Linked DNA regions of Sus scrofa. The protein of the gene in region 2 binds, or shares a complex with, the protein of the main gene of each other region. Links are inferred from orthologs where the notes say so. Each region holds a gene or a part of one and is shown on either strand. Other genes may lie near its edges.

Region 1 (4,244 bases), on a different chromosome or scaffold from region 2:
GGTGTAGGTTGCAGACGCGGCTCGGATCCCGAGTTGCTGTGGCTCTGGCGTAGGCCGGTGGCTACAGCTCCGATTGGACCCCTAGCCTGGGAACCTCCATATGCCGCGGGAGCGGCCCAAGAAATAGCAACAACAACAACAAAAGACAAAAGACCAAAAATAAATAAATAAATAAATAAATAAAATACCTCATCAAAAAAGGAGTATATCTTCCATCTATGTCCTCTGGACTTGATACAGAATGCATGTTTGCCGGGAGTCCAAAACACTGGTTCCTTTTCTGCCATCCGAGACGTAGTCCTTTACTTGTTGTTTCAACTTGTATTTGTTTGATTTCTGAACAGTCTATGTTTTTCATGTATTTGCTCGTGATTTTCAGTTGTTTTCTGCATTTTTCTACTCTTGCTCTTCTTTCTGCTGGGAAATTGATCTTTTTTTTTATTGACTTGAAAACTAATGTCCAAAAGACAGTTGGTTATTTGGTTTTGAAGCTCAGAGAAGTCTGGTGCTAGAGGTGAATGGTCTTTGAAGTACAAGGGGACTACGCAATAAAGGCAAAATGCAAACTAAAATATAATCTTTGCGAATATGCAAATTTGAAGGAACACCGAAGAGGATGTAATTTAGACTCAGTGTGGTGGTTCTCAGCTAGGTTCTGCGAAACAAGGGTGCCTTAATTTGGATAAAAGGATTTATCACTAAAATGAAACATTCACAGCATTTTCCCAATTCAGACGGGAAAATTAATTAATCGAGAACATATAACATTTAAAATTTTTCTCTTACATGTTTTCTTGGAGTCTTTGACTTTGCTATTGCTTAGCTACAAACAAGCACTAAAACCAAAAAATATATTTAAAATAGTAAGATAGCCACTTATTTTTAAATAAACATGTGCCCAGCACCTACAGCAGTGCTGGCATATAATTGGACCTTTATAATTATTTGATGACTAAATCAATTAATTAGGGAATGAATTCATTGAATGTATCTCCATTTCATTATGTTTTCCCAAGAAATAGACTTTCTTGGTGTCCTGCCACCATCCCATCTATGAGAAAGCGAGGAGACACTGAGGATTTAAGCAGAGCAGTGGAATGGCATGACGAGGGTGGTGTTTGGTCAAGTCAGAGGCCGCAGGAGGCCTCCAGATGGGCGTGATGGGCGTTGGTTGGAAGGTTCGGAAGACTTCACGGAGGAAGTACTGCATCAGGTGGTGCTTTTTAAGAAAATGTATCTATTTTTTAATTTTACTTTTTTAATTGAAGTATAATTGACTCACAATGTTGTGTTAGTTCCTGGTGACCATTCTTCAGCCTTATTTGTTTACATAAAAAGAAAACAAAGAACTGGGGATTCGTGCCCCTTAAAGGAAACTTTATGCAGGGATCATCAGAGGGCTTGTACAGATAAAAGGAAAGTAGCCTTAAAAAATGTTATTTTCTGGGGACTTCCGACTTCCATTTCTTCAAACAAGGAAGGTGGAGGTCCCCACTCCACCCTAACAACAAGTCAAATGCTGAACACGAGGGAAAAGATGAATAATTCTAGGATCTGTGTGAGGGGAGGGCACAGGGCAAAGCCCTGTCCTCTAGATCAGAGAGACCCACAGGGCGACAGGGAGAGTCAGGGCATCCCAGAGCAGGGACTCACACGGAGAAGCCACAGTGGAAACGAATGCCAGGGTAGGAACATCTGAACTGAATGTGACACAGTGCTGGAGGCTCACCGTGGACAAGCCTGACGGTTAGAAACTCTAGGGGCCCCAGTGTGTGTCCCCCCAGCAATACTGTGAGATTCGCCACCAGGAGCTCAATCAGCTTCCCAGGGTAGATACTGGGGGAAAGTCCCATCATGTTCCCAGGGAAAGGAGGCAAAAAGAAACCATCGTGAAGTCAGCTTTGTTCTTAACAAGGCCAGCTCTCAGGTAAAGTAGTTAACCAGAGCCTCACTCCCCTGGGAGAAGGGAAATACCTAATTCCAGCCCCACTCTAGCCATCCTGTCCCACCTAAGGAGGAAGGAAAAAAACAGAGAAGCACTTGTGGAGTTTAGAGTCCAGAGGCACAGGCTCCCTCAAAGCCTGAGACCTAATTACAGGGGCACTTTTCCTCCCTCCACGCCTTACACCGCATTACTAAAGGCTTTATTGTGGCACTTCTTTTTACCTAGAATATCATGGCCAGCTATTAAGAAAGAAGTACAAGGCACACTAAAAGGCAAAAGCACAACTTGGAGAGACAGAGCAAGCACCAGACCCAGACAGGGCAGAGACGCAGGAATGATCAGACTGGGAATTTAAAACAACTATGATTAAAACGCTCATCATATTCAATCAATACGCTGAAGGACGAAGTAGACAGTGCACAAGAGCAGATGGGCAGCATCCGTAGCGAGCTGTAAATCCCAGGAAAGAACCAGAGTAAATGCTAGCAATAAAAACAGTGTAATGAAAATGGAGAAATGCCTTGGATGGGCTTATAAATAAGCTAGACATCGCTGAGGAAAGTATCTCTGAACCAAAAGATATACCAAAAGAATCCTCGAAAATCAAAAAGCAAAGAGAACAAGACAGGAAAACCAAAAGAGGACAGAATATCCAAGGACTGTGGGACACCTACCAAAGGAGAAACAGGCGTGATGGGGGAATACCAGAAGGAAAAGAAGGCAACAGAAGAGGAGTTCCCGTCGTGGCACAGCGGAAACGCATCCTTCTAGGAGCCACGAGGTTGAGGGTTTGATCCCTGGCCTCGCTCAGTGGGTTAAGGATCCAGCGTTGCCATGAGGGGTGGTCTAGGTCACAGACACAGCTCAGATCTAGCATTGCTGTGGGCCTGGTGTAGGCTGTGGTGTAGGCCGGTGGCTACAGCTCCCATTAGACCCCTAGCCTGGGAACCTCCATATGCTGTGGGTGCGGCCCTAAAAAACAAAACAAAACAACAGCAAAAGAAAGCAACAGAAGAAATATTTGAAACAATGTCTGAGAATTTCCTCAAATTAATGTGAGACACCAAATCACAGATCCAACAGGCTCAGAGCACGTCAAACAGGGTAAATGTGGGAAAAAAAAAAAAAAAAAACCCACTACGACTAGGCATATCATTTTCAAATTACAGAAGACCAAAGATAAGGAAAAACTCCTGAAAGAAGGCAGAGGGAAAATAAAAAAAACACAAAATGCCTCACCTATAGAGGAATAAAAATAAGAATTACGTCTAACTTCTCCTCAGAAACCATGCAAGCAAGAAGAAAATGGAGTGATATAGTGAGAACATTGAAAAAGAAACAAACAAACAAAACCTCGGCTTCGAATTCTGTGGTCTCGTGAAATGATCCTCGGACAGTGAAGGAGGAACAGACTCTCAGCAAACGAGAACTGAAAGACTTTGTTGCGAGTCGGCCTGCCTTGCAAGAAATGTTAAAAGACATTTTTAAAAGTCAGAAACTCAGATCTACAGGAAGAAAGGAAGAGCGTCAAAGAAGGAATACGTGATGGTAAAACAAAACCTTTAATTTTCTTACTATTACCTGATCTGTAGTTACAAGTTTGTTTGATGATAATAATGTTTTCAACTACAATGGATACTTATGTATACATTTGTGTATATGTACATATGCTTATGTATATGCTTTTATATAAGTAAAACGAATGACAGCAAAGACTCAAAGGATGAGAAGAAAAAATTAGGATCATTTGGTCATCGTCAGATGCTCATACGATCTGTAAAGTGGTACAGTGTTATCTGAAAGTGAACTTGGATTAGTTGTAAATGGATATTGCAAACTCGAGGGCAACCTCTAAAAAATTTTTTTTAAAAGAAATATAGCTGAGGGGGTTCCCTTCGTGACTCAGCAGTTAACGAACTCGACGAGGATCCATGAGGATGTGGGTTCGATCCCTGGCCTTGCTCAGTGTGTTAAGGATCTGGCGTTGCCGTGAGCTGTGGTGTAGGTCGAAGATGTGGCTCGGATCTGGTGTCGCTGTTGCTGTGGTTTAAGCTGGCTGCTACAGCTTTGATTCAACGCCTAGCCTGGGAACTTCCATATGCCGCAGGTGCAGCCCTAAAAAGAAAAAAAAACTATAGCTGATATGCTACGAAGGAAGAGAAAATGGAATTATATAAAATGCTCAATGTAAACCGTAACAAGCAGAAAGAACTGGAAGTCAAATACTGTTTTTTTTTTTTTTTTTTTTTTAAAAAAGACAAGGACAACAAATAGAAAGTGTGATGAATACGGTAAATAC
Region 2 (3,818 bases):
TGGCAGAGGACACAATAAAACAATTAAAAAGAAGGTCAAAGAAAAGGAACTGAGAGGTAAAAATAGCATTAGACATTCACTTCCTGAGATGTACAATTCTATTACATGATTTCTCCTCTAGGGCAAAACCCAACTTCCTACAAAAACCAGAATATCCTTTTTTTTTGTTTGTGTGTTTTAGGGCCACATCTGTGGTATACAGAAGTTCCCAGGCTAGGGGTCGAATTGGAGCTGCAGCTGCCAGCCTACACTACAGCCACAGCAATGCCAGATCTGAGCTGAATCTGCAACCTATGCCGCAGCTTGCAGCAATGTTGCATCCTTCACCCATTGAGCACGGCTAGGGATCAAACCCACACCCTCATGGATACCAGTCAGGTTCTTAACCTACTGGGCCACAATGGGAACTCCAGGATATCCCATTTTTAATTATTCTAAAATATTTTTCTACTTACAAGAGGAACTGAGAGTGAATGACAGTGGAAACCACAGTCAGCTAAAGCTACCAATGGGGTTCCAATCTGAGGGTGGCACACAGCCCAAGCCCAAGGTGGGAAAGAGCAGTTATGGTGGTCTCACCCATGGCCACTGGAATGTCCGTCCAGTTGAGGGCACACTTCTGCGTGCAAATCCCCTCCTCATTGAGCACCACGGTGAGATCATCTTGACCTACGGCCACCTTTCCATCTGCCAGAGGTGCAACTAAGGGCTCCAGCTGTTTTCCTGTTGGGAAGAGCTCTTTGATGGACCCCTTTCCATCCACCTAAAGGGAGACACAGAGTGAGTCACCCAGCCTTCTCCAGCCAGAGGCATGAACACGATGGCATGGAAAAATCAAGTTAAAACTCCAAACCTACAGAAGCCAATAATATTCGTCATTTGGCATAAAGAAATATTACAGAGTTTGTTATGACAAATTTTGTCACCACAAGATATGCTTTTCTCTAACACAGAGAAAAGCATCTAGGCTGGCAACTAACAATGTCAAGTACTGGCGAGGATACAGAGCAAGTGGAATTCTCATGTGCTGCCGGTGAGGATGCAAAATGGTACAGCCACTCTGTTTTTTGGCATCTCATAAAGTTAAATACACACTTACCATGGAACCCAACAATCCCATTCCTACGCATTTGCTCAAGAAAAACAAAAACCTGCGTTTACACAAAAATCTGGGGGCAAATGTTTATAGCAGCTTTGTTTATAATGGCTAAAAATTGTAACCAACTTTGTCCTTCAACTGATGAATGGATAAACTATATGTAGTACATCCATACCATGGAATCCTATTCAGCCACAAAAAGGAATATACTGACACACACAACACAGATGGATGTCAAATGCATCATGCTAAGTGAATGAAGCCAGGCTTAACAGGCTACACGTTGTATGATTCCATTTATATGACATTGTGGAAAAAGCAAAACTGTAGCAGACAAAGGACAGATCTGTGGTTACTAGAGGCTGGGGTGCGAAAGGAGGGCTGGCTTCAAAGAGGCAGCATGAGGGAATTTTGGGGGGTGAGAGAACTGTTCTGAATCTTGATTGTGGTGGTGGTTATGAAACTCTAGACATCTGTGAAAACTCAGAACCGTAGATCCAAACGAATAAATTTTACTCTATGTAAATAAATGAGTATGTTTTGAATAACCTGGTCCTGAAGCAAGCTTTCCCGCCCTCAAAACACTGCACCCTCAAGAAGGTGATGGCCATATCTAAGGCAGAGAAATGAGAGCCTCCTCCAAATTGTGGCTCCGCCTCCTACCCCTCGCAGGCTTCTCTCAGGCACCTGTCTACCTAGTTGCTATGCAGTCAGTGGCACAGCAGTACTCACCTACAGGCCTGAGGTGCTGATGCTGATAAAACTGTGCTATTCCAAAAATAAAAATATGGAACCAAGATATTCACTGGATAAACAATGAAGAGCTAACACAGCACGGGGTAGGGAAGTGGGAGGTGGGGAGAGAGCTTCGAGGATTGCCAAGTCTGTTTTATGAGAGGGGTATGAAGCTGAGGAATTTATACTGTCCTATAAAATGAATGGTGCAGTAACCTTTTCTACATTTAGTATGCATATTAGAGGGTAAAACTACCAATGTCATGGATATTTACCATATAGGTTAAGAGAAAAAGCAGGGTATAAAACAATGTGTATAACACGATATTTTGGTAAACAGACACAGAAGCCCATTACCAAAAGGTTAACTGTGATTATTTCTGAGTGGGAGAATTATGGATAACTTGCCTGTCTTACTTTCCTTATCTACATTTTGTAATTTTCTACAATAAACACATGGCTTTTGAAATTTTTTAAAAAACTGAAAATAACTTTTACAACAAATATATTAAAAGATCTTGGGGGAGTTCACATCATGGTGCAGCAGAATCGAATTGGACTATGACCCAGGAGGTTGCGGGTTCAATCCCTGGCCTCACTCAGTGGGTTAAGGATCTGGTGTTGCCGTGAGCTGTGGTGTGGCTCAGATCTGGCGCTGCTGTGGCTGTGGTATAGGCCGGCAGATGTAGCTCTGATTGGACCCTTAGCCTGGGAACCTCCATATGCCAAGGGTGCAGCCCTAAAAAGCAAAAAATTGGGGGGGGGGCAGGAAACTCAAGACTTAAAAATACTTAAGTTAATACTACAGTTAGTATATAATTCCTGAGCTTTCAAGCCTCAAGACAGCAGTCCATCAGAATGCTATTAAACAGAGGCAAGCAGCCCTAATTATCTAGTCCAATAACTAGACACAGGACATGGATAATTCATTATATAAAGATCTGAGAGTTGATTCTGTCTGGCTTAAGTTACACCGACATCTTATTTGTGGAAGACGCTCAAAGCATGAAAAATACCCAAGCATACAAACACAAACCCTATTATGCCAAAGACTCTACTTAAGGCAGTCTCTTGACCTATAGTTCAGAAGCACATAAATTTACCTTCTCCCCCAGGTAAATTTATAATCACCTTCCCCAAGGCAAGCTGATGATATTTGCAAAACAGTTGAATTTTACCCTTATTAAGTAGTAGTCTCTCTTGAAGCCCACACAGATAGAATTTTCACACCAGGCCATGGACTTGGGTACATCTGGTACGCTAAAGTCCCCCTGAAGAAAGAGAGCAAGAGTTCAACTGGAAAGATGTTAAAAGAAAAAAAAAAAATGACCTTCTTGTTCTTTCACCTCCATTCTGCAAAATCACCCGCACCCTCATCTGAATACAATTTTATTAGCACAAGGCCAGGAAACCATCCATAATAAAAATATATGTCACCCATGAACTGGACAAGGCATATTTGGAAGAGGAGAAAACCCACTTTGAAAGAAATTAATCTGTACAGTTGTAGAATGATGTTACTCTAGCTTCTGAAGGCCAGGAGACGTAAATGTAGACAAGTGGGCACAAGTAACACCCAGGTACTCATACTAGCAGGGCATTCTTCTAGGGAGAACTCCAAGATGGAGCTCCTGAGCTTCATGAGAACTGAACAGTAAGTCTTTCAAGCTGTGGGTCAGTTTAGCAGCAGCTCCCATCCAACCCATGGACCAGATAACAGTGGACTTTTACCTGCAATTCATGAAATTCCCTGTCTTTCCAGAAATAGAGCTGCAGCTTCTTTTTCACGGCCACACACATCCGCAACACCTCGTCACCAGTCTCTGTGTGCTGGGAAGAGACACCCAGAGCGAATGAGGATGCGCTCATGATGACTCCGTAACTGAGTGACAACTGAATTAGAGGTTTTCTACCCTGAAATGGCTACTAATCCAAACATCCTATCATACAAGGTCACACTGCCAGACAAGTTGAGCCAAAGTAC

The links.
Region 1: VPS39 (region 2) and VPS41 share a complex: the UniProt entries of both Homo sapiens proteins name them as parts of the homotypic fusion and vacuole protein sorting (HOPS) complex. The link is inferred for Sus scrofa from reciprocal best matches to the Homo sapiens genes VPS39 and VPS41.

The regions. Positions count from the first base shown.
Region 1 is NC_010460.4:55,292,297-55,296,540, reverse strand, and holds the start of VPS41 (vacuolar protein sorting-associated protein 41 homolog), read right to left. Parts: upstream 2,887-4,244; 5' UTR 189-2,886; intron 1-188. UniProt on the Homo sapiens protein: Plays a role in vesicle-mediated protein trafficking to lysosomal compartments including the endocytic membrane transport and autophagic pathways. Acts as a component of the HOPS endosomal tethering complex.
Region 2 is NC_010443.5:129,164,579-129,168,396, reverse strand, and holds part of VPS39 (vam6/Vps39-like protein), read right to left. Parts: intron 3,665-3,818; coding exon 3,566-3,664; intron 3,106-3,565; coding exon 3,013-3,105; intron 764-3,012; coding exon 580-763; intron 1-579. UniProt on the Homo sapiens protein: Regulator of TGF-beta/activin signaling, inhibiting SMAD3- and activating SMAD2-dependent transcription.